Caenorhabditis elegans: one gene and its partner. The protein of the gene in region 1 purifies or fractionates together with the protein of each later gene. This does not show direct contact. Each region holds a gene or a part of one and is shown in the gene's direction. Other genes may lie near its edges. The genes, in order: paqr-2 and hpo-8.

Evidence for each region.
Region 2: the proteins of paqr-2 (region 1) and hpo-8 purify together in Caenorhabditis elegans (affinity purification with western blotting; one study listed by BioGRID). This does not show direct contact.

The regions. Positions count from the first base shown.
Region 1 is NC_003281.10:5,370,511-5,388,161, reverse strand, and holds paqr-2 (Adiponectin receptor protein), read left to right. Parts: upstream 1-8,232; 5' UTR 8,233-8,242; coding exon 8,243-8,326; intron 8,327-8,403; coding exon 8,404-8,493; intron 8,494-9,025; coding exon 9,026-9,129; intron 9,130-9,177; coding exon 9,178-9,317; intron 9,318-9,999; coding exon 10,000-10,367; intron 10,368-10,775; coding exon 10,776-11,510; intron 11,511-11,723; coding exon 11,724-11,948; 3' UTR 11,949-11,949; intron 11,950-11,997; 3' UTR 11,998-12,463; downstream 12,464-17,651. Other genes in the region: Y32H12A.8 (WDR59/RTC1-like RING zinc finger domain-containing protein), read left to right, coding at 1-44, 511-815, 968-1,318, 1,475-2,113, 2,256-2,324; Y32H12A.7 (ABC1 atypical kinase-like domain-containing protein), read left to right, coding at 2,759-2,941, 3,111-3,205, 3,391-3,580, 3,630-4,211, 4,561-4,767, 4,859-5,164, 5,542-5,727; Y32H12A.6 (Flavodoxin-like domain-containing protein), read left to right, coding at 6,172-6,369, 6,436-6,901, 6,947-7,122; szy-2 (Protein phosphatase inhibitor 2), read left to right, coding at 16,891-17,112.
Region 2 is NC_003283.11:6,826,632-6,840,754, forward strand, and holds hpo-8 (Very-long-chain (3R)-3-hydroxyacyl-CoA dehydratase hpo-8), read left to right. Parts: upstream 1-12,657; 5' UTR 12,658-12,664; coding exon 12,665-12,714; intron 12,715-12,773; coding exon 12,774-12,891; intron 12,892-12,940; coding exon 12,941-13,048; intron 13,049-13,099; coding exon 13,100-13,224; intron 13,225-13,276; coding exon 13,277-13,532; 3' UTR 13,533-13,623; downstream 13,624-14,123. Other genes in the region: T15B7.8 (Nucleotide-diphospho-sugar transferase domain-containing protein), read left to right, coding at 1-23, 79-241; dmsr-15 (G-protein coupled receptors family 1 profile domain-containing protein), read right to left, coding at 440-493, 539-692, 735-854, 1,028-1,128, 1,171-1,273, 1,320-1,424, 1,692-2,018, 2,062-2,255; col-141 (Nematode cuticle collagen N-terminal domain-containing protein), read left to right, coding at 3,073-3,889, 3,935-4,062; col-142 (Nematode cuticle collagen N-terminal domain-containing protein), read left to right, coding at 4,555-5,350, 5,400-5,581; T15B7.14 (Chloride channel CLIC-like protein 1), read right to left, coding at 5,659-5,740, 5,788-5,860, 5,910-6,015, 6,062-6,127, 6,173-6,239, 6,300-6,364, 6,414-6,517, 6,585-6,652 and 10 more; col-143 (Nematode cuticle collagen N-terminal domain-containing protein), read left to right, coding at 9,023-9,818, 9,869-10,032; T15B7.15 (GRIP domain-containing protein), read right to left, coding at 10,094-10,204, 10,250-10,402, 10,452-10,559, 10,603-10,873, 11,268-11,421, 11,478-11,619, 11,667-11,789, 11,848-11,913; lgc-54 (Ligand-Gated ion Channel), read right to left, coding at 13,655-13,836, 13,890-13,974, 14,022-14,121. UniProt on the Caenorhabditis elegans protein: Catalyzes the third of the four reactions of the long-chain fatty acids elongation cycle. This endoplasmic reticulum-bound enzymatic process, allows the addition of two carbons to the chain of long- and very long-chain fatty acids/VLCFAs per cycle.

The DNA.
Region 1 (17,651 bases):
ACGATTTGATTCGTTAATGTCAAAGGATCCGACGGAATTTCAATGTGAGACTTTGTTTCGTTTCAGAAACTGCAGTATTTTTGTAACATGAATGCAGAAAAATAGTTTAAATTTCATATGAATAATATTAATTATGATTCCATGAAAGTTGGGAAGGCTCCAGTTTGTGTCGAATTCCAATTTGAATTTCCGCCCATAGTATTTTTTCGATGGAGCGCACTTGCGTGTTTTCAAATTTAATAATTTTTCATAATTTCAATAATTTCAGTTTTCATTTCCCATTGATTTTTTAAGTTTTTGTGCTTTTCTGCTGGAAATTCGGAGAAAATTTTTAATTTGAATTTAATTATTTATTAAAAAGTTACTGAAAATACGTAAAGTTAGATTTTCCGACAACGACGAGCCTGAAAATAGTATATTCTTTTATTCGTATAGTGTTTAGACATTTTTGTCGTGTTTTAAATCACTTTCCCTACTGGCGCTACTTAAGAGTAAATATTAAAATTGCAGTGGTCGACCGTTCTGATGTTCCAAGTGCTTCACTATTCGATAGTCTTGATGCAGCAGTCAGCAAGTTCTGTAATGAAGATTCCCGTAAGTCTTTGTTTTTGGAAAATGCATTTTTTAAATTTACAAATGGGTATTCGATTCAGTATTATAGTAAATTTCTCAGTTTCTCCTTAAAAATCAATATTTCAGCTCATCTGGCAGAGGATCAGAAGCAAGTTGTGAAGGATACATTGATTCAGTTGGCGACTGGAAAGATTCCATATTTTACTACGAATTATTTTGGTGGTTATGACTACACGGAAAATGTTGGTTTTTCTTTTAACAAAAATTGTTTTAAAATTTAAAAATGTCTGCTTTTTTTTGAAAACATCTCAATTTGGAAAGCGACGGGTTTTGTTCGATTTTTAGAAGAAATATTTTGTTCTTGATTTTTTAAATATAATTTTCTGTGTTTCAGATTTCTCTGACTGAAGAAGACGAGGAGAACGATGATGACAAGTCTCCAGTACTCAGAAATACAGATATAGTTCAACCGGCGGCTCCAAACGCGAAATATCTTGAAATGGAGGATTGTGAAGAAGAAATTGAATGGCTCAGAAGTATGCACGAGGGATCAGATTTCCATAGACGCAGATTTATGGCTGTATTAATGTATAAAATGGCTCAGAAGGCAATTTTCCGTTTTGCACCACATTTGGCTGATTTTGAGAGAGGACGGAAAAGATTCCAACATTTGCTTACTTTACATGCAAAGCAGCGTCCATTGCTTGATATGATGATCACTAAAGTTCGGGGAACTTATTTCATGGTTAGTGGCAAGAAGTTCAAAAGAAAAGTCTTCCCAAAATTTTTTTTAGATCACTTTTTTAAAAACAAAAATCTGAATTTCGTTCCACGATCAAAAAAATGCAGATCTTTTATTTTAATTTGGAATTTAAAAAGTACTATTTTCAACAATTTTCAGCCGCTAGAAACCAACATGTTCCTGTATGATTCCAAATTGATAACATTTGCGGAATTAGTTGATTCGGAAGTTCATCCAAAAGAATGGAAGGAACGAAAAGAGACATTTGAAGAAATTAGACGACAGACACCGAAAGATCCAAAATCAATGTCTAGATTCCTGAATATGCATAATTCGGGTTCTGATTCGGATTCTGGTTCAGAAGTTCGATCGGATTCATCTTCGTCTCTTGGTGGATCAACTGAGTCTTTGAACAGCTCGAAAAAAGGAAAACGAGCTCGCCGAGCAATGAACAAGGCACAAAGAGAGCTGATGCTTTTAAAACTCCGATCGAAACCTGTAAATCCAGAAGAAACATTTGCTCTGGAAAAACGAGCAATTGGAGCAAAAAAGTGGAAGGTTCGACGAAAAATCAACGAGATGTTGGAAGGAATTGCGGATCTTGACAAATTTAAGATTGAGGCGAAGCTTCCGGCAAAAAAGAAAGATTTATTGAAACATATCAATGAATTAATTGTTGAAAATTCTGATACAGCACACTGGTCATGGGGTGATTTGAAAATGCAGACGAGAATACGAAAGATTCCACCAGCAAATAGAATGAAGCCGAAGCATATTAATCGTATTTTGAAGGGAAAGGTATGGAAAAATAGTTTCTGAAAGTTCTAAATGTTTGAAATATCTATAACAAATGAGCTTTAATGTTTTCTAGCAGTTCTACATTTTCAGACCCAAGATAAAATTCAAAGAAATTTTTTAAAAATAAATCTTTTTTTTTCAGAAAATGTACAAACCGCCGAAAAAATACGATCCAAAAGATGCGCAAACTAACGGACGCAAGTGGTTCTAGGAAGGATATACAGTTTTCTTCTTGTTTTATATATATATTTTTTGTTAAATTTTTTGTTATCTTTATCTCATTTTTATAGCCATTTTTCCAATGTATTTCGTATTCCCCTCAATTGTTCTCCCATTATTTTTTTCAAAATTTTGAAATTCTTTCAATCGCTAGTGATTATAAGGTATATTTTCAATATGTGATAATTTTGTATATATATATTTGAATCGATTTGCGCCCATCAAATTGCCTTTCTATTTTTTTTTTCTCAAAAATTATGTTAAATTATTTGTTTGTTCTGATTGGATTTTATGTGATATAAGATTGTTTTATGATATTTTTTTCGGGTCATCCTTTTAATTTGAAAACTGGTTCTAGAATCCTGAATTTTATCTTCTTCTGTAAACTTTTTTCAGAATTTCCAATATTTTCATATTTCCAGAGACATGATATTCGGGTCGACGAGGTTAATTTTGTACAGGTGCTGGGCTCACAGCAGAGCCGTGAGCTCTAGAAATTTTAAATTAGGAATTGTGCTCGGAATGGGTGGAGCTGTGTCTTTAACAAGGTTACGGACATTAAAATGTGAAGCAGAGCATCAAGATCCATGGCTTCTTGTTCCACAGAAAGTAAGATCGAATTTTAAAGTTAAATATTCAAACTTTCAAAATTTTATAAATGATTTTAAAACTTTCAATTACGCAAAAACTCTAGAATTTTATTCTTCACATCCAATTTTTTTGCATAAGTTTTTAATTTTTCGAAGAAAAAAATCCCATAAAATATCAAGATTTTTAGAAAGTCGTAGTGGAAAAATCAACGATGATGGGCATAATAACTCTACCGATTACATTGATCGTTGTCACTTATAAAGCAATAAGGAAAATGTTCAGGTGAGCAATTTTCTGAAAAAAATTGTCTTGCAATTTTTTTTTAATTTGGAGTTACAATGAAAAAAAATAAATTTCAATTTTTAATTGTACAAATATTCCAAAAGGCAACTTTTTATATCTCTGATCTGAAAATAAAAATGCTAAAATATGATTTCCTGGAAAAAAAGAAAATAAAATAATTACAGATGCATTAGCTTATTCCTTCGATTTTCTCCAATTCTTCTCACTTATCCTCTGACAAAAATAGAAGCATTCGAGAATCTTTGGTGGAGATATCTTCTGTGGTCTCTTCAACATTCTGGACCAACTTTTATTAAATTAGGACAATGGGCAAGTACACGAAGGGACATCTTCACAAAAAAGTTTTGTGATCGGGTGAGATTTTGATTTTCTAATCATCTTCAATTTGTATTTTCAATTTCAGCTCTCCGTGCTTCATATTCAAACTAAAAACAAGAGATTCTTCCGTGATAAGAAAAAAGTAATGAATGAAGTATTTGGAAAAGGATTTATGAAATTGCATGGAAAACAAGTATTTCTCGAGATTGAACCATTTTCAATTGGCTCAGGATGTATTGCACAAGTATATCGAGGTACTGTAGATATCTCTGAACTTGAGAAGGCTACTGGAAAGGAATACCCAGAGCTTAAAGGACGTACAACACAACGGATTGCTATTAAAGTGGCTGATAAAGATGTTGATAAGCAAATTGAATTGGATCTTTCAATTCTGAGAAGTGGAGCATGGTTAATGCAACATATTGTACCGGCTCTTTGGTATTTGGATCCAACTGGAGCACTTGAACAATTTGAAATGGTACTTCGGCGACAAGTTGACTTGAGAAATGAGGCGAAGGCTTTGAAGAAGTTTTCAGACAATTTTAGTTCAAAAGAAACTGGAATTAAGTTTCCAATTGTGCTTGGATATACTAAAAATGTAATTGTGGAAACATTTGAAGAAGGAATTTATATTAATCGATTGGTTGCAGAGGAAGGACAGCCAGAGGTTAGAAATTGGAGATTTGGTAGAAAAAATATGAAATAATTTTCCAAAATAAACTTCCACTCTAAAAAATTCATTTTGCAAAAAAACTTTTTTTTTTCAAATTTTTATTGCGTAAATTTAAAAATAAAAAATTAATTAGAATTTTGCCAATAAAAAAATTATTTTTCAAAAATCCGAAGATAGATTTTCAAAAAAAAAAGGTATTTTTTTAGATTTTTGAAAACGAAACATTTTTTCGTTATTTGTTTTTAAAAATTATTGATTTCGAAATGGTTACTAAAAATAAAATCGAACGTTTAAAAAATATAGAAAAAATAGATTTTCGGGATTCCCTCCAATATTCAATCAGTTTCAGCTAACCGCCCGACAATCACAAGCAGTTCGACGGAGAATTGCTTTGCTCGGAGCCCGAGCCCTTCTCAAAATGATTTTCGTCGACAATTTTGTGCATGGTGACCTGCATCCGGGAAACATTCTGATTCGATTCAATGATAATGAAGATAATCTCAGAGGAGTACACAAGGCGCCGAAAGCAGACAGTGCACTTAAAAGAGGGGTACGGGTTACTGTAGATATTTCGATTTTTTTGACAAGTGCAAGATAAAAACAAAAAAAAATCTGATGGATCATAATAATTATTTTTGCAGCTGGAATGGTTTCGTTCACTGGTAAACTTGCGTTCAGCTCCAAGAATTCGTTTCACCGACTCTCCGGATCTTGAAGATGAGCCTACTCTGGTCCTTCTAGACACTGGAATTGCCATTTCCGAAACACCGAAAAATTTGCACAATTTGAAATCGCTTTTCAGAAGTGTTGTGGAGAAACGGGGATACGATGTCGGGAAGCTTCTTCTTCATCAATCCCCCTTCCAACAGTGCAATGATCCGGAAAGGTTTTGCCGACAAGTGGAAAAGCTTGTGTTGAAGGCCAGAAGCGAAAAGAGCTTGAGAACTGTGCGTTTTAAACGAAAATGTTTCAAATTTTAATTTATAAATTGGAATTTTAATTTAAAAAAATCGTAAAATCTTGAAAAAATGTATAAAATTTTGGAATTATTTCTGAAAATTGTCAAAGAAAAATTCAATTTCAAAAATTGACATCGGAAAGAGTTTTAGTTTAGTTTTTTGTTTTAAAAATACAAAAAAAAATTGAAAACTAACAAATTCGAACAGTTTGAAATTTTAGAAAACTAAATTTAAATCAAAACTATGTATTTCCGATTTTGTTTCAAAAATCAGTAACTCAAGAAATTATAGGTTTTTTAGTTTCGAAATATATTGAAATTGAAATTTTTCAAATAAAGTTCCCTCATCAATATAAACTTTTTCAGCTCAATATCTCGGCACTTCTCTCAGAAATGTTCACAATTGTGGCGGAGCACAAAGTGGAGCTCGACTCGGCTTTCACTACAGTAATCCTGTCTGTAATGGTTCTCGAAGGATTCGGCCGATCTCTGGATCCGGATCTTGATCTCTTCCAATGCGCTAGACCGTTTTTATTAAATGTTCTCGTATAGTGGACTTTTTTGCGAAAATCGTCCTTTTCAATTGTACAGTTTCAGAGTAGCTTTAAGATTTTATAGTTTTAGTATTTAGAGATCTTCTTTTTGTTTCATTGGGTTTTACGCATTTTTCAACTGTTGCTAATAAAAATGTTCAACAATATTTTCTGCTTTTCAACTTTTTAAATTTTTTTTCGGAATGCTGGTCTCACTGTCCAGTTCTATTACTTCTTTTTCTTAGCCAGTTTGATTTTTTTTCCAATTTTTTTTACTTAGATGCCTGCTGTGTGGTGCTCCTTGCATGATGTGTTGTGGTGTAATTTTGGTACGTTTTTAATGAAGAAAATGGCTATATTAAAGGCGCAGACACTTCTCTCAAAACTAAATCGGTGTCTACGTTTTGAATCTTTTTATTATTATCTTATTTGAGAATTGCTCGAATTTCAGTAAAATATCCAAATGTGTGCCTACCAAGTTCCACCACTGCGACCTGAAGGAGGTCCACGTGGCAAGGAGCCGCAGTCGTGGCTCGAGGATTATTTGGAAGGAAAGGACGAGATTCTGCTATACATAACTGCCGCTTTGGGAGTTCTGATGCCGGGATTTGTCTATCTGCTCTATCGCAAGTGCCATGCATATTATGAACGTTATTCAAAGGTTGGTAATAGTGGAAAACAAAATCAACAAAAATCTGGTCTCGCCACGACTTCCAATTTCTTTCAGAAAAAAGAAGAAGAACGACTTGCCGAGGAACTTGCCGAATCAGAAGCCGTCGTAATAGTTCTAGGAAAAGAAGACGGGCTCGCAGCTCCGTGGGCCAAGGTGATTCACGACAAGCTTTGTGATGAAATGGTCCGAAAACCGATGATTTGGTGGTCAGACTCTTTGGATGTGAAGGAGTTAATGGCCTTCAAGGGATTTTGTATTTTTATCTCTGAAACTACGGCTGGTGGTCAGCCGACACCCTCGACAGAATGGTTTTTGGAATGGCTTGAGGATCTCGCAGCGGACTCGAAGCTTAGAAAGAAGGCGAATTTCGAGAAAATCAGATTTTCAATTGTTGGCTTCGGAAGCAGTGATGATGGGCCAGCTGGGTTCAATAAAGTCGCCAGAACTTTGCTGAAACGAATGAAAATCTTGGGAGCTAGGCAAATTACTGAAGTCGAACTTTTCAATACAACTGACACTGGTATCATACCGTAATAATGATTATTGTTAAAATGTTGAGTTTCAGATAAGCAAACTATGGAGCGATTTGTGGAATTTTCGTTCGAACTCCTTTTGCAAATGGATAAGCATCTTCCTGGAATGAGTGGTGAAGACACCGAAGAATCGGAAGTTGGAGACGATAGATCTGAGAGCTCTTCGGATGATAATGAAGTCGAAGAGAAACATAAGAAGTCGAAATAAAATTTGAATATAAATATTTATATTTTAATAATTGTTTATATATCGAGCTTTAATTGAATTTTCCTGCATTTTAAAGATATTTTGTATATTTGTATTATTTTTTCAACATTTTTCATAAATAAATTCGCTTTTTTTAAAGAATATTGGTGACTGCCAAAATAATAAGAAAACATTAATTTTTGAGAAAGTAAATATTGATCCAAATTACCGTAGTGTAGTTTTAAAGGCGCATGTCATTTCCAGGACGGGTCTCGGCACGGGCTCTAAAGTTTAGCTGTTTCCGTTGCTTCTTGTAAATAATTGGAGTTTTTTTTTGCATATTTCGAAGCATTAAAAAATTAGAATGAGTTTGATCAGTGCTGAAAACTAGAAATCTACGAAAACCTTTTTGTAAAAGAACTCAAAAAAAAGTTTAGAAGCAAAATACCGTAACGAGTTGTTAAAGGCACATACCACTTCCACTTTGGGTCTCATCACGAATATCAATTGTGTCTTTTTCGTTTATCTTTTGTTAATTTTTAGCGAAGTTTTGTGGTTTTTCAGGTGTTTTCTTCATTTAAAACATTAAAATCCTCAATTTTCGATAACTTAAATTGAAAACTATTTAAAAATTATATGAAAAATTGCCTTCGAATCTTTTTTTCATGGAAAATTCGCGTAACTTCCCAAATTTTTTTCCGCCGATTTTTCCGCCATTTCTTCGAACACGTCTTGGAGCTTTACATCGGGAAACACAAAAAATCTGTTTTAACTTGAAAGCTCGTTGAAAATACTCAACAAATTTTTCAGAAACTCATATTTTAAACAAGGAAGTCATAATTTCACTACATTGGATCCAATTCATGCAGGAGTACTTTGACCTCTTCTGAGTCTCCGGTCAGCAAATGCGCTTCCCCGCACCAACACACATTCCAGCAGCACGAGTCGCCCTCTTGTCTCATAAGCTTTCTTGAGAAAACGGAGAAAACTTTGCGCTTTTGGTTTGTATGTGTGAGCAAAAGCTTTTTAATCAATATCCGCTTTATTCTCTCACAGTTCCGATTTTATTTGATTTTTTTCTGGAATTTCTTATATTCTCGGTTGAAAAAAATTTTAAAAACTAAAATTCAGCTTTAACAAAATGGAGGAAGATGACGTGGAATCGGCAACACCGGCGGAATCGCAAAAACTTTTGCAAAAAAGCGTTCGAAATTCGTTTGACGAGGTAATCTATTTCACGTGATCTATTCTATGAAAAAAGAAAAAAAACACAGTTTTTAGTTTTAATTTATTACATTTCAGAGAGATATGGTGATGGTGTTGGACAATGATGAATTAATTATGGAAAATCGGAATAGCAGTAATCTACAAAGCCCATTGCGGAGTGTTACTGTACGTTTTTTGTTGGGTTGAAAGAGATTAGCATATGATTATTGATTTTTGTTGTCGGTGAGTGGTGGCTGGAGCTAGAAGTTTTAAGAAATTCTCACTGTTTGGAGATGTTTTTTTGAAGAAAAAGTGTTTTCAAAGAAATGGTAATTTTCCACTATTTCAGATCTTCTATTTTCAAAAAAAAATTGAAATTTTTTCTCGGTATTTAAAGCTGTAGCTGTATAAAAATTTTAAAGTTTCTGAAGTTTAGGTTTTTTCAGATATACAAAAAAAAATTAACGGCATTATTTTTGAATTTCCTGCAAACCAATAAAAACAAATAGTGAGAATTTTTCTGAAACCTTTTCCTATTTTTTTAGTGGTCAGTTACCGCTAATTCTTATTTAATATTAAAAAAGCTAGAATATCATTCTTCAAGCTCCAGCCAGCCACTTCGTGTTTTCATATTTATCACTGCTTGCCCTCATATGACAAATGTTATTTTTACGGTGATCAGAAATCAAATTTTGAAAAATTGAAAAGTGCATTGCAGGATGTGCTCCGAGAGGCAGAAAATATTATCACTGACGGACCGCTGCAGTTGGCTGATACACAAGAGAATCAGAATGTGATTGTTGATCAAGTCGATGTTCAATTGTAAATAATCATCAGATTTTTTTTTCTTCCAAAAAAACATTGTTTCAGTCCGAATAGTCAGCCATCAGATGGTCAACGATTTGAGATTATTGTTCGTCATAGTAAGGTTGTTGAACAGCCTGCAAGTCAGCAAAGAGACGAATCAATGTATGTGACAAGGCAGAATAGGCTTCCAACTTTGCTTGAAGGTAAGGTTATTGAAAAAAATGATTTTTTTTTAAAGTGCGAAAAATACTTTAATATTTCGCATAACATGCTTTTTGTATTTGAACCGATTTTTGATATTCATTTCATAGTTCATTCCCACAAATTCTTCTTGAGAAGTATTAAAATTCGTCCATAAAAATGGAATTTTTGAAGAAATGTTTCTAATTAAAAAATTCACACATTTACATTATTTATGATGTTCCAAATAAAAATCTAAACCAATTTTTTCAAAAATTATCGATTTATCCAATTTAATTCCCATAAAGGTTAGAGTTCAAGAAAAAAAGGCTTTTAAATGTAAAAAAATCGATTTTTAAAAATGTTCAATAAAAACAAAACAAAATATTTCTTTTGAGCTTTTGATATTAAAGCAAAACCAAACAAAAAATAAGAGTTTTGCGCAATTTATGAGAACATTTTCAAAAAAAAATTTTTTTTTACTATTTGTTTACAGTGTAACGAAATAAACCAAAAATCGCATCATTTACACCGATCTCTCGTTTAATAAATTAGTGAATTAAAAGTTAAATTTCCAACCAAAAAAAAACTTGTTGACCGTCACCTCAAATTAATTTTAGGTGACAGGAAGTGTTCTCATTCGTTTTTTTCAAAAATACTTCCCTCCTTTCACTAAACTACACTATTACTAAATGATTTCTATAGGAATCGAAATTGACAATGGAGATGTCCCATCAACGTCTAAAGCAGCCGCATTACCATTCAAAAAAGGACATCGTCGAGCATGGAGTATGCCGAATGCAAAAGGAGAAAAGATGACAGTTGCAGTTATTCATGATAATCATGAAGAAGGTGGAAATCAGCATCGTCGACGAATTGTCAAATACAAATTACATCCACAACGTCGGGGACACGAAGATGGAAAACATTTGAGATTTGTTACTGCTGGACATGATGCGGAGATTCATTTGGATCATAGTGATGATGATGATGAGCTTGAAGTTGAGATTAATGAAGAAGAAGTTATTATTCCTAGCGAAACTGGAGAAGGACCAAGAGCTGTTATCAAGAGGGTGAGGGAAAACTCCAGTGAGATAATTGCAAAATTGCAACAAAAAAAAGCAAAAAATGCAGCGATAAATGTTAATTGGCGGCAATTTTGCTTTAAACAAATTATGTAGAGAAAAACATTTCTAATAAGTTTTGAAAATTCACGAATCTCCGAAAATGTTTGATTTGGTTTTTCTTTCTATTAAAAGTTTTCTGATTACATTCAAAATTTTCTTTGTACTAGGAGCCAAAAAATTTTGCACACATGTGAGCTATTGATAAGAAAATTTTCAAAAATATACATTTTTGATAAGTTTCTACATATTTTTTGCAAGACAATTACTTGAAATTATGAGAAATCTTAAAGAATAATTTTTTGGTTAAAAAAAACGATTAAAGTTAAAAAAAAAATATTACAAAATTATTTTCAGTTCTGGGAAGCCCGCTGGAAGGCAACAAATTTCGAAACTCTACCCGAATGGCTTCAAGATAACGAATACCTCCGTACAGGACATCGTCCTCCACTTCCATCGTTCAGTAGCTGCTTCAAGAGTATTTTTGCATTGCACACTGAAACAGGAAACATTTGGACTCATATGTATGGATGTGTTGCGTTCTTCGGTATCGGAATATGGTTTCTGACTCGTCCCCATGATCAAATGCAATGGGTGGAGAAATTGATCTACTCGGCGTTTTTCCTCGGTGCAGTGATATGTCTTGGAATGTCATTCCTTTTTCATACGGTTGCATGCCATTCTATTGAAATGGCTAAACTGTTCAGTAAACTCGATTACACTGGGATTTCCTTACTCATCGTTGGATCATTTGTTCCGTGGATCTATTTTGCATTCTACTGTAGACCTCAACCAATGATAATATACAACGGAATGATTATTATACTTGGAATCGCTGCAATGGTCGTCTCGCTTTGGGATAAATTCGCGGAGCCCAAATTCCGGCCTGTACGAGCAGCAGTTTTCATAGCAATGGGCCTATCGGCTGTGGTCCCAGCATTTCATTTACTTGTAGTTGACGGTGTTCATTATATGGTTGAGGAGTCACAAGTTCATTTGATGATTATGATGGGAGCCATGTATATTGGTGGTGCAACACTCTATGCGACACGTGTACCTGAGAGATGTTTCCCTGGAAAGTGCGATATTTGGGTATGTGGTTTCAAAAAAACTAGCAATTGGAGAAAAATATAAAAATATATATTTTCAATTCTCGGTTTTCCGGAAAACCAGACAACATAACTTTAAAGATTTTAAACCACATTTTGCAAAAGAAAATTTACGAAAATACGAAAAAGACTCAAAAAATAAAAGCTAAACAATCTTTTTTACTCAAAAAAAAACTAATAACGTTTATTTTTTCAGTTCCAATCGCATCAACTCTTTCACACATTTGTCGTGCTCGCCGCTTTTGTTCATTATCACGCGATCTCCCAAATGGGAATGCATAAGCTCATGAAAGGATCCTGCCCGGATCAACTGAAAACTCGTTACGGTAACGAGTTGAATCCTTCCTTCGTTGGCACTTTGCTTGGGCTCGACGAGCCACTCAATGTCAGAGACTGGACACCGGCGGATGTTGGTTTATGAGGTAGATTTGTTTCCAATTTTTTATTTTTAAAAAATTTATAATTTTCAGAAACCTCTGCACAATATGTATAGTTGCGTATATATGCTCTTCTTGAAGCTGCTACAACCCTCTTCATACTATCCTTTTTCTGCTCATTTTCACCATTTTTTTTTCCATTTTCTTTCAAATTACCTGGTTCCCCTTCCCCACGCTCCTCAACTATCTGTCGAAACATTCTCAGCTAAAATTCCAATGTGATAAATTCTATACACTCCTTTTTTCATTTTATTCCCCCTTTTCGTTCCGTTTTCTTCCATTGAAATTAGTTTTCTTATTATTCTTTTCTTGTTTTCGCGTTCTCCTTCATTTTCTCGGAACCAGATTTGGTTTTTTTAAACTTTAACATTGAACTTTTCGAGCTTTGTTTTTTTTTTCTTTTTCGTATTTTATGAATTTCATTTTACTGTGTAGCCCATTATTCTATTTTCGTGTGAGTGTAGTCGTCTAGGCGATTTAAAATAAAATTTTCGATTTTTTTTTGTGATTTTTCGAACAATTCATGAAGTCGGCATAATTACCAAGCGCTAGTGTCTGTAAAATAGCGGAAATTTAAGAGTTTTAGCGAAACATTCACGAAATCACATATCTTGCAATTTCTCATCAGTTTTCTACAGAAAAAACTCGTAGTTCCACACCATGCAGGTGAAAATCTAGCAAAATCACCCTTTTTCTTCATTTTACTTGAAATTTGATCAGATTTTTGGTTTTTCAATGTTCTCAGGCGATCAGGAAGTGCTGAAATCTGAAATTGGTTTGAAGTCGATAATTTAAGGAATTTTATTAAACAATCTCGAGTACAGTAACTTGAAAGGCGCATCTACGAAAATAGGGATTAAATATTGTATCTCTGCGAGACCCACGCATACTATAGTAGAATGTCCCTTTAAATGGAGTACGGTACCAAAAGTAGACAAATTTTCAGATTTGTTTGTTTATTTTAGAATTTTTTGTTTTCAGCCCCAAAAAATTATTCCAGTGCCAGAGTTGTGTGTCACGCAGAGTCTCCGTTCTCTTCGTACACTTGTATGCATGTCTGCACCCTCTGCGGCTAGTTTGTTCTCTCACATTGTTCACTTGTTGCTCCTCAGTTTTTTATTCTATTTTTCTTTCTTTTTTCTTTCGGGTCGCCGCATTCTAACAATTTCTTGTCTCTGCTCTGATAAAAACAACAAAATTTTCGATTTATTAGCTCCAACTTTCCTCCCATTCTCCTGAAAATTTCCTGAATCAAAATGAAAAATAATATTTTGTTATTATCAAAATATATAAACTGTCATGTGAAACGTGGGTTATTTTTTATTTTGTTTTTTATTTAAGCTCCTCCCATTTTTTAATAAACTAATAAATGAAAATTTCAACGAAAGGTCAGGAATGGGAGGAGCTTAAATAAAAAACAAAATAAAAAATAAGCCACGTTTCACATGCCAGTTTATATATTTTGATAATATTTTTCTTCCTTCAAAAGGATTAAGCATTAATCATTAGAATCTTTTCGCGATTTTCCGGATTTTGCTTCAAAATAACCGACAAAAATCTTTCACAATTTCTAAAGAACTTGGAAATTGGGGAAAACCGTCAGTTTTGGAAGGCCTTTGTGAATTTTGAATATTGAATAAAATAACTGTTTCAGCATTTTATTTTAAGAAAACACTTAAAAAACAAAATGTTTAATTGTTTCCTTCAGCGGTCAAGTTTTCTCTAAATTGCCCAGTAATATTCAGAAAAATTCTCGATGTTTTGTTCAAAATTACCATGGCACTAAAAATAGTCTGTCCAATTTATTTTGTGTGTTATTTCGTCTTCTGACCGAATGGCGCAGATCTCTATTTCCGGAATCAGCTGCCTCAATTTTCGGCACCCCACAGTTATACATTATTTTGTTCAAATGATACATTTTGCGATTTATGATGCATTTTTTAATCGCAAAAAAGCAAAATAAAAGTGTGCGCCTTTAAAAGTAATTTGTCCTCCTCGCTGTTTTGTTTTTTTTTTAATTTAAAATCAAAATTTTTTTTCTACAGTTTACTGCACAAATCTCATTTTGATTTTTAAAGCAAAACAAGAAAAATTGAAAGAAATTGCAAAACTACTGTACTTTTCAAAGGAGCAATATCTTTTTCGCATCACTCGACTCGAGACCGAATACCGTAAATCAGCCTCGTGAAATTCACATCTGTGTGAAATCATATTTTCAGTGAAACACGCGCAGTGGAAACCTTTTGTGATGTCGGGGGATTGTGTTTTTGCGAGACTATGTCGAATGTAGACCGAGTGAAATTGATTGAGTGAACACACAGACACAGAGATACACACTAATTCGATGTTCTTTTTCTTTTCGTGAAGCCCATTTCAAAGAACATTCTCGCAGCATTTTCTAGTTATTCCTTATACAATTTTCGGATTTATCCGTTGAAGGTGGTCGTTTTTTGGTATTGAAACGTGTATCTCCACGATTTCCACAGCATTTTCGGTTTTTAGAAACTCAATTTTCAAAACGAATGAAAATCAGTTCAACAATAGTTTCTGTTCAGATATTTATTTTTAAAAAAGTGCGGAATTTCAAATTTGAGGCAGCTTATCTAGGATTTCCAACTAATTTCCGGTTTTTTGTCGGAAAATCTGTGTTTTTTTTCTGCCAAACTTTACCTTCTGCATAAAATAGTTGAAATGTTTGTCTATAAGTGACCGTAAAATGAAAGCTCAACCGCAAAATTTGGCCACGTTGCAAATAACATCGTTGCTTCCCCACATTACCCCTCTCCGTGAAAACTGAAAGGTGACGAAAACATTCTCTAGGTCTCCTCCGCACCCTCCGTCTACATTTTTCATTTTCGAAGGCTCTTCTCCTCCCGTACATGTTATTATCATCACGTCTTCTTCTTCTTCATCTTCTTCTACAACTACTTGAAGTAAGCAACGGCTTCTGCTATGGATAAATAATCAGAGATCAAAGAACATGATTATTATTATGATTGCTTTTTGTTCGGTTTTCCGAAAAAAAGAGAGAGAGAAAGAGGACAGGCGGCAAACCAAACAAGTTTACGTACAGTCCTGACTGTGTCAATACTCTTGGCTGGCGTCTCCCCTTGTGATGTCACTCACAAGTCAGTTGACCCTTCCGGAGTGTGTGGGGGATCTCTATCAGATTCTTCTGAGCTTTCTCTCGTTTTGTCAATTTTTTTCAGCTGCCTGCTGGCTTCGACGAAAAATGTTCTTCCCCCTATGGCCTTGCTTCTTTTTTCGCTTGAACGCTCTCTCAGAGAGCCCCACAGGCTGAGGAGAGGCGCCAATTGCATTATTGGCTCTTCGTTGGCTCTAGCCGCCTTAGACGGAGAATAAAATGCGGCCACCCAAGAGTTTTTTGGACTCGTTACTCTTCTTCCAACTTGTTTTCACTCATTCTATTCTTCCATTTGTCAAAAAAACATTTGTGCGTGAAGAATGTTTTCTTTAAGGTGACCTACCACTTTCGAGGCTCTAAATAGTCATATTATTAGTTAGAATATGACTGAAAATACGAAAAATTAGATTAAAAACACTTTGGTAGCCAATATATGGGCGGAGTCTCTTTTTGGAATTTTCTTGCCGTCGTGCCATTTCATTTCAAATTTGATTTTGATGTTTTTGAAATCTCAAACTGAAATTGCTAGTTCTAGGCTGCAATTATCTGAAATTACTCAATATATTTTGCTGAGCTTGAAAGTTTTGATAAATAATTGCTCCCAACCCACCCACTCACTATAATTGTTACTTTATATTTAAAAATTAGTTTAAATATTAAACTTATTGATGTCCTTTCTTGGACTCAATTTTTCTGAAGTGTCAGTTCTTCGCACCCTTATTTCTTTTTTTTTTCTTCAGAAATGTACTAGTACGTGCTTTAGAAATTTATAAAAGTAATCATTTACATAACTTTCAAATATTTTTTTGATGAATAAAATTAATTTTTAAGAACTTTAGTTCAAAAAATCATTAAAATGGTGTAATATTTCGACGAACCAGGCACTAGAAATTATTATTTTCTCTAAGACCTAGACTTACTTTTTTGCAGATTTAGAACATTTTGACCTGATTTTTTAATTTTGACCGAGAGAAAAATATTTTTTTAAAAATATATATGGTAGGGCTTCGATTTCTCTTTTTCATGCCACATTCAACATTTTTCAAATTATTTTTTTCTATTTTCGACATCATCTTTCGGTTTTTAACCAACCGGATAATATATCAAAAGCTGACCAAAAAGATAATTACGTTGTTGATCACCAACTACTGATCACTGAGGGAATATAAAATATATGAAAATACATAATTTGGTGATTCAATCATTCGAAGTTCTGATCATTTAGTGAAAAAAAGGTTTCTTTCGCAAATATTCGAGAGCTCAATGCTAAAAAAAAAGACGAAAAGTATGCAAAGTCATTAATCATGTAGGATCTACTAGCTTCTCTTGACTCTTTTCTCTGCAACAATCACATCTTTGTTCCGCGCAAAAAAGGCGAGTAGCCAGTTTTTTCGTTTCTAATTAATTTCCTTTTAGATTACAGCTCGCATGCTTTTACTTTTTCACCACGCTGTGTCTCTAGCTATTTCAGTCGTGTTTACGGGAATATATATGGAAAAGAATTATTGATGTATTTTAGATTATCCAATAGTTTAAGTGATGAGGAAAAAATAATCTACAAAGATAAATTAGCAAAAAAACATTTTATGTTTGATTTCGAAAATATTTGAAAAAAACATTCTTAAGTTTTTGAGAAACTTTAAAAACTTTTTATGACAAGTACCTCTAAATAGTAATTTGATAACTAACGTTTCAAAACGATTTCTTTTTGCTTTGCTTTTTTTACCTATTCACTTTTTCGAACCTAGTTAAAAAATAAATTCTCCATCTATTTTCAGAAAATGGCATCACCCTCCGCTTCTGCAGACGACGTCAAACTGACAGCCGATGGAAAGATTTGTCTTGATGATCCAGCCGAGTTTCTGAAAAGAAAGCCAAAGAAGAGTATTCTTAAGATGAAACAAGACTCATCGCTTGAGGGCAAAGATGGTCGTGCACATTTTGATGAAATGAATATTCTTGCCACTTATCATCCAACTGACAAGGATTATGGAAGCATGAAGGTTATTTTTTTTAGCATGTGCTTTCTTTTGTGGCTGCAAAAAATATTTCCTTCTTCCTCAAGAGGGACCCTTAAAAAAACAATTTGGATGAAATATGGGAATTTTTTGGGAAAAAAACGTCCTCGAAAAGTTTTTCAACTAAAAAATTGAAACAAAAAAAATGAAATTGGGAAAAATAACTTTGTTTTTTTACATCTAAACAAAATTTCCTTCAGAAAACTACCTTTTTATTAGTTTTTTAAACAAAAAACCGAACTTTTTTCATTGAAAAGGACTTTGAATAATAATGAACAAATATTGTTAAAAAACACCTCAAAACTGAAAATTATCGAAAATATATGATTTAAAAAACGTCTAATTTTTTTTTGTTGAAAATATAGTTAATTTTATTACAGCTTTTTTCCCAAAAAAAAGTTAATTCAAATGCGAATTCACACTAAAAAGTAATTATAGAATAAGCGAAATAAAAAGTTATTAAAAATTCAAGAGTTTTTAGAAAGTTACAATGAAAAATTATGAAAGGATTTTCCGACAGTCAA
Region 2 (14,123 bases), on another chromosome or scaffold:
ACGTCTTACGAGAATAGAACAAGGTAAGTGTGCTTAAAATACCAGACTAATTTTGGTTTTTTAGTTGATGTTTTCTAGGTACTGTACAACGATCGTTCAGTCATGGGCTGATATCATATTCTCTGGATCTCAAGATTTCAAAATAAAAGCGGACAATGAGACAAATCATACAAACGGAAGCATAACATTTTTTGGGTCAATTTTGATAATTATTATTGTTTTACTCTCATTCCATGTTTAACTGTCTGGAAAGTTTTATATTCTAAAACGACTTACTAACTTTTTTAAACGGCTATAAATTGCGGGTCTCTACTTTTTTTTCACCCTAACATTTAAAAATAATTTTTAACATTCATTGTACTTATTGGAGTTGAAACAAAAAAATTTTGAAATAAAAATAAAATTGCTCAAGAAGATGTAATTGGGCTTTAAAGACTATTCACTGCCATGCCATTTTTCGAGTAGTTACCACCAGGGAATTCTTCATAATTTTCTGAAACACAACTTTTTCAACTTAAAAACTATCAAAAATCTCAACTGATTGCATTCTCTGTTTGACACTCTCAGGGACAAATAACCGAACAAAAATTTCACGGAACTGCGAAGACATTATACAATAGATGATAAAAGACGTTGATGCGTTGAAAGTAAGTAAAATTTCGATAAATTGAAAAGTCCACTTTTTCACAAACCTAAAAAGCAATCTTTGTATTAAAAGGTTGAAAATAAATTACATATAATAGTCAATCATATATACTGCACTGAAAATAGTTACCGCTGCACTCGGGATTTTGACTAGAAAAAACATTATCAAAACTACTTGCAAAAGCCGCGAGGAGTTTTCGATTCCTGATCTGAAATTTATTTACATGAAATTAATTTATGACAAAGTCTATTATCGATTTTTCTTGATTAAAAAGAGTTTCTCAACTTCTCGAAACGTTTATGTATGTTTCTTGTAACTTCTTAAAACGAATTTTTGTAATAAAATTTGAATATCGGGAACCTTAAAATTATTAAAGCTTACGAGCTTGATTTGCCCATTGTTTTCTTTCTATGAGCTTTGAAAGAGTTCAGTTTGCACAGAATTAACAAGAAAAATATGAAAAGCAGAAGTAGTGGAACAATCTGAAATAATTTCGTTGAAGTCTGTAACCAATTATTCTCAACGTCAAATAGAATCCCATAAAACAGCAAAGACATCCGAAATACGATGCATCCATTTTCAATGTATTCATCAGGTATTGTCACAGCATACTTCCCAGTTAATGTTCTGAAATGTGAATTATAAAGTAAAACTAATGTTTCGTATGCATCACTTTTCAATTTCTGTAATTTCAAGCACAGCGCTGGACAGCATTCCGATGAAAATCCATAGAACAGCCGAGATTGTAACAGCAACTTTTCTGCCTTTCCATTTGTCGCTTAAACAGAAGCAAAACGCTTTTGAGTAAAAATGGTGAAATTTCTATTATAAACTAGTTAACCTGATGATAGTTTGAAAAATGTTGTAAATTATCAAGGTACCATACAAGAATTAAAAAGTACATTTGAAACATATTTTGGGTGGTTCTTGTTTGAGGTAAACGTGATAAAATTAGTAGAGACTGTAACACTATTTTTTTGAGGATAATTTTGAATGCAAAACTTTTTAAAAAATCAATTCAAAAAATTAATTCAAAAAATCTTACCTATTTGAATACAACGCCATAACTCTGCAAAATGTCATCTGCACAACAAGATAATCTGCCATTACAGGCACATACAAATTCAAAAAATTTTCTAAATAATTGTACAAAGCTCTTAAATAAGTCTCTTCCGAGAGCAATTTCAACATTTTGTCGAATAAATTCAAAGTCACACTAGAAAAGTTGCACAGGGCAATCATAATCATTGTCAAATTTATTCCAGATGTTCGCAGCTCTTTTTGGGACAATACTACTATAAAGCTAATATTACAGAAAAAGTCCAATACGGTGAAGAAAACGAGAAAATAGATATGAAGGGGGTTATATGCTCTGCAAAATTAGGAAACAATTTAGAAATCTTGGGATCACTTACTCAAAAAAACTGACTAGTACAGTTCTTAAAAAAGAATCTTCAAATAAAAATTGATTTGAATCGAGCAAATTTTGTTGACAATCCGAAATATCTCCGCGATTTTTATTTTCTGACATGTTTTTTTTTTCAAATGAGTTGTATTCCACTGTCATTTTATTTTTATATTCAGATATATGTAGGTTCAAAATTTTCATAATTACTATTTGCTTTTTAACATACTGTCAATAAGTTCTTGAGACGTTTTCAGCTGTGTTTTGTATTTGAATTTATAACAACACGTGGTATTTTTAAAGTTCTTGTACAAAGTCTAGACAAAATTTTCATAGGGTGCAGCTGCCGCATATTTGCCTCGTCGTTTTCCGCTTGGAAAACATCCGAAAAAGTAAGATTATAATACAGATGAATTTAAAATAGTCAAAATATTTTGCGCTAAATGCTAGCAAAAGTGAGATAACAATTTGACATTGTGTCAAAAATTTGCAAATGTTCGTTTTAAATATTAATGCATTTCAAGCAAGTATTGAAGCTTGCAAAATAATAAAAAAAAGCAAAATAATAAAAAATCTAACACTCAAATTTCAACAAGGTTGCTTAATTGTCCTGTTTTGATAGTTCATTTCACGAATTCAAATGGCAAATTCATCAATTCTCAGATTTTAACATTTTCCATTTTTTGATGCGATCAAGGAAATGCCACCCAAGGACGACCGCAATGTCTGTGTTTTCGTTAACTGTTTATTCCGCTTCCGTGTTTGAAAACCTCAGGGACAGTAATGATGTGAACGAGAATATGCGGAGAGACAGAGAAATCTAATTTGAGAAACTGTTCATCTGAACTAATTGAGTTGTTTAGTAAGCAGTGAAACTTTACTTTTTCACTTCTGCCTTCTCCAACGATATTTAGCACCTAGGAGGAGCTAAGTATATAGGACATAGTAGAGGATTGTCTCGGAGAGATGACCTCGGAAGTATTATGTAAGACCGTATAAAAGGCAAGGTGTGTCCACCGAAATGCATACTTCATCCAATACGATGAGTACCAGCACCTTCGTTTCTGTGGCTTCGGCCATCTCCGGTCTTGCTGTTCTCGGATGCCTCTTCACTGTTGCGATGATCTTCAACGACATCAACTCATTCTATGATGAAAAGATTGAGGAGCTCAATGAGTTCAAGGGACTCGAACAAAACGCATGGAGATCAATGATTCCATCCACTCGTCCTGTCAACGCCGAATCACTTCTTCTTGGGCGTAATAAGAGACAAGCCCAATGCAACTGTGGAGCTCAATCTCAAGGATGCCCAGCTGGACCACCAGGACCACCAGGATACCCAGGAGCCCAAGGAGAGCCAGGACTTCCAGGAATCGCTGGACAACCAGGATCTGGAGCTCGAGTCAACCCACAAACCGGCCGTGACAGTTTCTGCATCACTTGCCCAGCCGGACCACCAGGACCTGCCGGAACTCCAGGAGCTCCAGGAGCCCCAGGAAACGCTGGAGCCCCAGGACAAGATTCCTTTGGAGGAGGACCAGGACCAGCTGGACCAACAGGACCTACCGGAGACGCCGGAGCACCAGGACAGCCAGGGCATCCCGGATCCCCTGGAAACCCAGGACGTGGAGGGCAACGCAGCCGTGGACTTCCAGGACCATCAGGAAGACCGGGACCACAAGGACCGGCTGGAGGACCAGGACAGCCAGGACAATCTGGTGGATCAGGCACCCCCGGACAACCCGGAGCACCTGGAGCACCAGGGCATCCGGGACAAGCAGGAACTCCAGGAACTCCAGGAGCACCAGGAAATTCTGGAGCCCCAGGAGGAGATGCCGGTAAGAAACAAGTCTCATGACTATAAAAATATTTTCAATTTTCAGCTTATTGCCCATGCCCAGCTCGTTCTGCTGCAATGGCCGCTCGCAAGCGCGTCTTCAAGGTTGCTCGTTCCCGTGCCGCAGTTGCCAAGCGTCGTGTCGTCAAACGTGTCCGTGTTCAGAAAGCCTAAATTTCTGGAATTACCTAATGAAAAAAATAATAAATCATTCAACATTCAATCCAGTTTCCTGTAGTCACAAGAAATCTTGCCAAACAACGATTTTGAGATAAAACCTTTCAAAATAAGACAACACAGAAAGTAGGGTCCTGCAAATGTTAATTTGACCTTTTCATGATCATAAGACCCGGTTTATTTTCTGTTCTCTTCTCACTAAAAAGTTGTTTGGTCACCAAAACGGTTTCAAGGTCTGTCTCCTCGAACACGGAAATTGGCAACGTACACTAATTGGAAATACGGAAAAATTGAATCAAAAAAGTAGTACACTGGTTAGTACTCTCTTACTTTTACACAATCTCTTGAAACCCATCTTCAAATTGACAAGTTCACATTCAGAAAAACACTGCCCATCGAAGGAAGAGATGAAAACCGTTTTTGCGGTTTTGTGAATCTATAAAAGGTGAGACAAGCAATGAGAATAGACACACATTATCGAGTCAAACGATGAGTGCCAGTACTCTTGTGACTGTGGCTTCGGCCGCTTCTGGTATTGCTATTGTTGTCTGTGTTTTCACAGTTGGAATGATCTTCAATGACATCAACTCATTCTACGATGAGAAGATCGGAGAGCTCAAGGAGTTCAAGGGATACGAGCAAATCGCTTGGCAGGCAATGATCCCAACCACTCGCCCATCATCCGGATCATCATTCCTTCTCGGACGTAACAAGAGACAAGCTCAATGCAACTGTGGCGCTCAATCCCGTGGATGCCCAGCTGGACCACCAGGACCACCAGGACAGCCAGGAGCTCCAGGAGAGCAAGGACACCCAGGACTTGCTGGACAGCCAGGATCTGGAGCAAGAATCAACCCAGCTACCGGAAGACCAGGATTCTGCATCACTTGCCCAGCAGGAGCACCAGGACCAGCTGGACCACCAGGAGCCCCAGGACCAAAGGGTAACAACGGGCAACCAGGAGCCCCAGCTCAATCCGGAGGACGTGGACCACCAGGACCACGCGGGCCAGCCGGAGATGCCGGATCACCAGGACAGCCAGGACACCCAGGATCGCCAGGAAACCCAGGACGTGGAGGACAACGAAGCCGTGGACTTCCAGGACCATCAGGAAGACCAGGACCACCAGGACCAGCTGGAGGACCAGGACAGCCAGGACACTCCGGAGGAGCAGGATCTCCAGGTCCACAAGGACCACCAGGACCATCCGGACAACCAGGACATTCTGGAAACGACGGAGTTCCAGGAGCACCAGGAAACCCAGGATCCCCAGGAGGAGATGCCGGTAAGCAAAATCTCAGGAACAAACACATTTTATTTTGTTTTACTTTCAGCCTACTGCCCATGTCCAGCTCGTTCAGCTGCTATTGCTGCTCGTTCCAGAGTTGCCGCCCGTTCCCGTGTCGCTGCTCGTTCCCGTGTTGTTGCTCGTTCTCGCGTCGTGGCTCGCAATCGTGTTGCCGCCAAGAGACGTGCCGCTGTCAGAAGACACCGCGTCCAGAAGGCTGTTGCCTAAGTGGCAAAATGCCGCCATTCTCTTTAATAAATTCATTTCATTTCAAGAATTTTCTCAAAAACAAAACACAATTAAATTTAAATATTGAACCAGTACAATCCTCTATCAGCCGTATGGAACTGGTAATATTGATATCTATCCAAGCTCGAATCATCAGGGCTGAAAAATTGAAAATTTTACGTTTATGAGAAAGATAATTAACTAACTCTTTCGTTTCCACTATAGATATTGAAGCCATCAACATGAAGCTAAGTACATAAATCGAGATAAGAAGAATGACTGAAATTAACAGAAGAAGATTTATGAAAGCTGTTCGGTTATTACTTACTGCATGGAACTTCAAGAAAAGTGATAGGTGCCACAAAATAATTCCACATTTGCAAACGATATTTTTCATGAAGATATTTAAAATCTTCCAGATCATTGCCAGTTCTCTGAAATCCTTTCAATTTTTGACTAAAACCAACAGTAAAACCTTACATTCGCGACAGTTAGACTCAACTCTCTAATTTTACTGGCCGCAATGGATGCCTGAATTCGATCCCTCTGAAATTATACTGTATTTTACAAATAAATATAGTGTAATCCCACTTCAAAACCACAGTAGAAGCATTCTACTTTTCCAACCACACACAGATTAACTATTTTCTCGATTTCTCTGAAAAAGTAAAAAAAAAGTTTTAAAGAAATTAAAAAATTAAGAAATTAAGAATTCAACTCACAGTTTATTTTAGCAATCCATCCTTTAGTGTTTTCCAAAAATAATACCTCTAAATTGTCACACTGAAATTTAAGAGGTTAAACAAAACAACAAATTTTAACTTTTGCTCACTAATTCTTTGATTGGCGTATGATAATCCACAGTCAGTTTAAGTTGATCTTTCATCGCATCTATCGAATTTAACACTCGCACGTATGTTTCATCATTATTTTTCACTGAAAATGTTTAACCGTTTTTGTGGTAGATAAAAATTCAAATAATTTAATTTCTTGAATCACTTACATAATTCTTGTGGATTTAATGCTAAAAGCTCCTCGAGAACAGTTTCATCAGTTGACTTTAGAAAATCCCTTAAACTTAATACTTATAGAGTGTTCTATTTTTTACTTTAATACCGTAAATTGAAGAAAGAAGTTCCATTTGAATCTGTGACATTCAGTTTCCCAATAACTTCTAAATCCGTGTCTCGTAGAACATTCAGGAATAGACTGTGAGAAGCACTACTAAACAGAATCACAATAAATGACCAGATGAGCGCCCAAATTGCTGCGAGTTGAAAGATGTGATTACATAATGTCAGAAACGAACCGAGCGGGACAGCTGCATTGTTTTCTGAAAATAACAAATGATTTGAAACATCCAACCTAGTAAACTTACTTTCCAAATAATCGTGCCCTCGGTATATGGCTAAAAGAGCAAGCAGCGAGATGAAACACGATGGAGCAAATAGACAAAGAAGAATATAAAACGATGTTGAAACAATGTAAGGACTCTGAAAAAATGTACTGGTTTTCATTTCTAATCAATTCTCACCGGCAACGTGAACAGGTTTTCTATACTTGCATATACGTCTTTCAGAAGAATTAGTCGTTCTTGTGCTGCTTGTTTTATCAATGCAACATCCGATCTGCCATGTACCAAAACATTAGTTTTTATTTTGTCAAGTGCCACTGGAAAATCGTTCCAATATCGGAAAACCGTAGGATCAGGTATATTTGACTCTGTCTGTAAAAATGTTCTAATGTTTGAATCGCTTTTACAAATGCTATAAAAATCCAGAATGCCCCTTTTTATTTGGAAAACAGCGTACTTGACGTCATTTTTTCTGAAAATTAGGTAGACACATGTTCCAGAGGTGAATTGAGACTAGCGAGTAGACTTAACGTGATACAGTAAAGATAAGAGAGTTATATTGATGGGTTACTGTATGTGAGCAAGTTAGAACATCTCTTTTTGTATTTCAACCCAACTGCTCACCAAAAAGAAATCAGCTATGCTCCAATTTGATATTTTCACTTTGTGTGTTCCAAATCCACATACTCCAACAGTTGCATTGCAATCTTGCTTAAAGTGATCAAAAAACCGTTTAACAGTGTTCAATATATACTGAGGAGGTGGCACATTCTGAAAATAGTTTTAAATTTTCAGTTCCTTGAGAAACAAATACCTGGAGATGATATCTCTTTATCTTGTTGTGTAAAACTTCAACTTCATCCAATTCAGAATCAATTTCCTCAATATAACACGCGAGTCTTGAGCTAACCAAATCAACTGTGCGTGTGTATTCTGAATAATTCAATGAAATTTATGATCAGGAAACAAATGTTCTTTGAACTAGACATTCCATCCGGTCGGGGCGCCGTTCAACCTCCCTCCTCTGTACTGACCATTCATAAACTTTTCCATCCTTTTTGATCTATCGTCATACACATTTACATAATGTTGTATCCAACTGAACGTGTCGAATGCATAATAACTGGTGAGCGCAATAAAGAGAAAGTAAAATAGCATCAACACACTTTTCAGATAGAATCCTCGATATGGCTGAAAATTTTTTGTCAAATGTGGCCTGTGTGGCGCTAATATGCTTCATATTTGAAATTATACCGCTATTAACAAATCAAATTGAGAGCGGGAAAACTTGAAAGTGCAAAATGTGTAGATTAACCAGTAGAGGTAACATACTGCAACTGCTATGTAGAATAGTGTTGATTTCTGAAAAAAAAACACAGGTCTTTGAAAACAAAACCAAAAATTATACTCGAAAGATTCCCAATTTGGAGTATTCGAAAGTGGTAAGACTCTGATTGGTAATTATTTTTTCTCCTGCTTTCTGAAAAGTATGAAAAATTAGGAAAATTTATAAGTTTGCAGCTTACCAGCAGAACAATATCCTCCATTTTTGTGAACTCTTCAACCATATTTAAAAATGTTTTTGGGGTGATAGAAGTTTGAATTTCTGATGTTAAGTCTGGTGGCTGATGGTCAAGTCGATAACATGCCATCTCGGGAATTACATTTGAATATATTTTTTGTATGCATAATGCTATAATTATTGTCTGAAAATATCAATTTTCAATCTAAACTTCTTAAGACTTTATTTTAAAAACTCACAACAGTTTTCCACATAATTAGAATTTTCATACAATAACATTTTTCTAGCAATTTCCTACGCGTTTCCAACGTTTCTAAATTCCAACGCGATGCTATCCGTTAAGTTCACGTCGTTTACTTTTTTCTGGAGGCGTTGCCCATTTTGCATCTTCTTCACATTTCTTCCTCGTTGAAACTGGTTTTGAAATAATAGGACACAAGTCAGGGATTGATAAACCAAGATGACCCTCTCGATTCTCTATGCTATATCCTCTGTTACCTAGTAACCGGTAGAATTGTATATAAGGTAGGTTCCGTTACATACAACTTCACTCTCATCTGCAGAGATGAGCGCCAGTACTCTTGTGACTGTGGCTTCGGCCGCCTCTGGTATTGCTATTGTTGTCTGTGTTTTCACAGTTGGAATGATCTTCAATGACATCAACTCATTCTACGATGAGAAGATCGGGGAGCTCAAGGAGTTCAAGGGATACGAGCAAATCGCTTGGCAAGCAATGATCCCAACCACTCGCCCATCATCCGGGTCATCATTCCTTCTCGGACGTAACAAGAGACAGGCTGAATGCAACTGTGGAGAACAATCCCGTGGATGCCCAGCTGGACCACCAGGACCACCAGGACAACCAGGAGCTCGCGGAGAGGCAGGACTTCCAGGAATTGCTGGACAACCAGGATCTGGAGCAAGAATTAACCCAGCTACGGGAAGACCAGGATTCTGTATCACTTGCCCAGCAGGAGCACCAGGACCAGCTGGACCACCAGGAGCCCCAGGACCAAAGGGAAACAACGGACAACCAGGAGCCCCAGCTCAATCAGGTGGACGTGGACCACCAGGACCACGCGGACCAGCCGGAGATGCCGGATCACCAGGACAGCCAGGACATCCAGGATCTCCAGGAAATCCAGGTCGTGGAGGACAACGCAGCCGTGGAACTCCAGGAGCATCCGGAAGACCAGGACCACAGGGACCAGCTGGAGCCCCAGGACAGCCAGGACGTTCTGGAGGAGCTGGAACTCCAGGACCTCAAGGACCACCAGGACCATCCGGACAACCAGGACATTCTGGAAACGACGGAGTTCCAGGAACCCCAGGAAACCCAGGAGCCCCAGGAGGAGATGCTGGTGAGTTTCTCGAAAGTTAATTATGTTATATTTATAATCGTGTATTCCAGCCTACTGCCCATGCCCAGCCCGTTCTTCTGTCATGGCCGTCAACCGCCGCGTCGCTGTCAATCGAAATGTTGCCCGCAACCGTGTTGTTGTCCGTCACCGTATCGCAGCTCGCCGCCGTGTTGCCGTTCAACGCAGAGCTCGCGTTCACGCACAGGCCGTCTAAGCAACAGTCATTGTTTAATAAATATTCAGCATACAATTTTTGATAATTTCATATATGTACATTAGCGAACAATTGGAATTCTAGATATAATCAAAGCAAGATGAGCAAACACAGCATTTCGATTCTCTTTTATAACTTCGTCTAGAAGACCTTCTTCACTGGATAGAACATCCTGAAATAAAGAGAAAAAATAATGGAATAAGTTGTTTTGAATTACCTTAAAGAATACTTTGAGTTCTTCAATTTTCTTATTTTGAGCCTTGTGAGAATCAATTGTCGCTTTCCTTGTCTGTTGTTCTCTCAGAAGCTGATCTTCAAGAAGTGACGTCATTTTTTGGCACTTGTCTGAGTTTTGAAGAGCTTCGTCTAGCTATAAGTTATTATTTTGCTATATTTATTTCAAAAGTTTCAACACTTACTTTACTATTCAATTCATTCTCAATTTGAATATATTTCTCGAGAGTAGTTTTTCGTTTATTCTCCGATTCTTCCAGTCGTCTCTTACTATCTTTCAATGCCTTTTCAGTCTGGAAAAGACTAAATAAAAAAGTTAGGAAGGAAATAACTCACAGTCTGGCCACTCTTTTCCAAAAGACTCCGTAATTTTAAATTCTCTTCTTCACGTTCCTGAGTTTTTCCTATTTCTTGCGTCAATTCGGATTGTTTCTCCTCGAGCATTTGCTCCATTCGTAACATATCTTGCTTCTTTCTGGTAAGTTCTAATTCCAAATGTTCAATTACTTGATTATTCATCAGAGTGTGACCTTTGCTCTCCAGACTTGCTTCAATACGGATCTCAGCAACAGCTTGCTCGAACTCGGCGCTCAAATCTGCACGAGCTCTGGAATTTTCATTTAATTCTCTAGATGATTTGCGACGTGACAATATAAAAGTACGAGACTTTAGTGGTCGAAAAGGACCAAGTATTTCTTTTAAACAACCAGATGCTAAATGAGTCTGCATATTTTTTTTTCAGAAAATGCAATTTCCATAGCTTGGCAAACTCGGTAACTCCTGATATTAAAGACAATTTTTTGGAACACAAAAAACGATACTTGTGTTGGTTTAGTAGGTTTTAGGAACTGAAATATATATTTTTGACTAATAATTTTTGTTGCAAAATTTTAGGGAGCCGTTCAGGCGTGTAGGCTCTAGGCAGACGCAGACAAATAGGCACGAAGGCGAGCCCATCTACCATCGTAACCCCTCAATTTATACAATTTTTTGAAACCTACTGCTCAATAGCTGCAATTTTGACGCTTCTTTCTTCTGCTTCTTTTCTTCGAATTGTCTCTTCCTGTTCATCAACGACACCTTGTAGAGAATTCAGTTTTGCACCCATCTCAATGATTTCTAGCTCGATACGATGCTGGTTTCCCAGTTGTGTATCTAAAAATTTTGAAAAAGTTTTTAATTCTACTTTCACTATTCTCTTTTCGGCCTACCCATAATGCTCATTTCACTCTTTAACTTTTCAATTTGCTCTTTCAATTTCTTCTCTTCTAATTCAGAATTATCTCTATGAATTTTAAACATTCTATCTGATTCTTTTCTCTGTTCTTCCAACATTTCTTCCAAACGAGCAGTCTGAAACAATGCTCGTTCTTTGCCTTTTTCTCTAATTCCTCTCTTACCTCTTCGTCTTTCTCTTCAACCAATTTTTTCAGATAAATAATCACATCGTTCGACTCGAATGTTAAATTTGTCAACTGATTCTCGGTCGCCTCATTTGTTACTATCATTTCTGCGATTTTTTCCTGAATGAAGCATAAAATTTAAAGTAATTTTGATAATATTTTCAAAAATTAAAACCACCTGCAGTAACTCTAACTGTTCCTCGAGAGGTTTTTCATCAGAATCCTGGCGTTGTTTAGAAATCATAGTTGTGAGTAACTAAAGTAATACGTAAAAGAACTCAGAATGTCTAGAGTTCAGATCAGTCAGCCATAAAATTTCAATTTCCGTCCATGGTGCAACAACTAATTTCCTGCGTTTGCTTAAATATAAATAAGTCTTCTTTAGTTTCAAAATTACATTTAATATTTTAATACAAGAACAAAAAAAACTGCTTCAAGTTCCTGTTCCTGTTCCACAAAAAATTATTTTTTAAACTGTCCCCAAAAACGCCCTGATGTAGATTTACGATAAACAAAGCGCGAAGGGTTATTTCGGAGTGTTGTAGTCAAGAAAAATGTTTCTTAAGAATTAAAATTTTAAAAATTATTTTCTTTCATTTTCTTAATTTAAGTGATTTATTTCTAGATTTTTTGATTAATTTCCAATTAAAAAACTGAAGTCTTCAATTTTTATTAAAAATAAATAACCTCGCTCTCATAATTTTTCTGAAAAACTAAGAAATTTACATTTTTCCTGTATCAACCAAGATATCGTATGAAGATTTATATATTTTCAATTAAACTTTCGAATTTTACCAATGTTTTACATTACATAAAATGTCCCATTTTATGTTTTCGCTAAATGTTTCTTCAAACTCCCCGCAAGTTGACTGATAACGTTTCTGTTGTACATCACTCCATTCTACCCTTTCATCTTTTTTTTCGTGTGGCGTGATATACTTTTCTCATTTTCTTTTCTTTGCATTGCCTAAAATCCTTATTTTTGCAGGGTAACAATGAGCGTTCAGACGTATCTGGTTGCGTACAACGTGTTACAAATTTTAGGGTACGTTTTTTTTTCTGAAAGAAGTTCACTATAATTTTAATAATTTAAATTAATTTCAGATGGTCTGCAATTCTTGTGAAAACAGTTCTTGGACTCGCTAATGGCTTGACATGGCCACAACTTTACGAATCGGTGGAATTTGAGCTTAAAATCTTCCAAACCGCAGCTATTCTCGAGGTTAGCTTTGTTGAAATTGAAAAACTTTTAAAGAAATTATCATATTCAGGTCATTCACGCAATTGTCGGACTTGTTCGTTCACCAGTTGGAACTACCGCAATGCAAGTAACATCTCGCGTCGTCCTTGTCTGGCCAATCCTCCACTTGTGCTCAACAGTGAGTTGGAATTTTTTATCTTAAACTTGAATAAATTAAACCAATTTTTAGGCTCGCTTCAGTATCGGAGTTCCACTTCTTCTTGTTGCCTGGTCCGTAACAGAGGTCATCCGGTACTCGTTCTATGCACTCAGCGTATTGAAACAACCAATCCCATATTTCCTTCTCTACCTCAGGTATTTTGAGATTCTGGGGATCAATGCTATAACTCAACTATTTTAATTACAGATACACCCTCTTCTACGTTCTCTACCCAATGGGAGTCTCCGGAGAGCTTCTGACGTTGTTCGCTTCATTAAATGAAGTTGATGAGAAGAAAATCCTTACCCTCGAGATGCCAAACCGTCTCAACATGGGAATCTCCTTCTGGTGGGTGCTCATCATTGCTGCTCTCAGCTACATTCCCGGATTCCCACAACTTTACTTCTACATGATCGGTCAAAGAAAGAAGATTCTCGGCGGAGGAAGCAAGAAGAAGCAGTAAAGAAAAATTCTACGTGTATTTATATTACAGTGTATTCTAGATTAATTGCAACCAATCAAAATTCAACTTTATTCATAAATTATTCTCCCGTAATGTCTTCTAAAAAAACAGTCACCCGAAAATCAGGATGGTGGCGTCATTTGAGCAAGAGCTTCGGCCTTTGCCAAATAATTCTGGTATAAATAATAACACCAATATATGAGATTCAGAAAACAAAACGACAATGGAAATGCTTTTCTGCAGAATTTGTCGACATTTTGTGCAGTCCATTTGGTATTTTCGTCATCGTCATCCGTGAGGAGTCCTGGAAAAGTAATATTTAGAGAATAAACGATGCACAAATTTATTTAAAAGTACCGAATTGTGCGAGAGCGTGCAAAGATTCGAACATATTGTTCGCTTGTCGAGAAATTGAAATTTTATGGCTTGTAGTCCCGTTCTGCTAAAAGATAATACATTTAAAATAATAAAAAAAATCAATAATCTCACTGAAAAAGGCTCATCATAATTGCTCCTCAAGTCGCTCTCTGCTGCATTTGCATTGGTTACTGTAGTTGCACCATAGTTATTTTTCTTTCTGTCTTTTTTTCT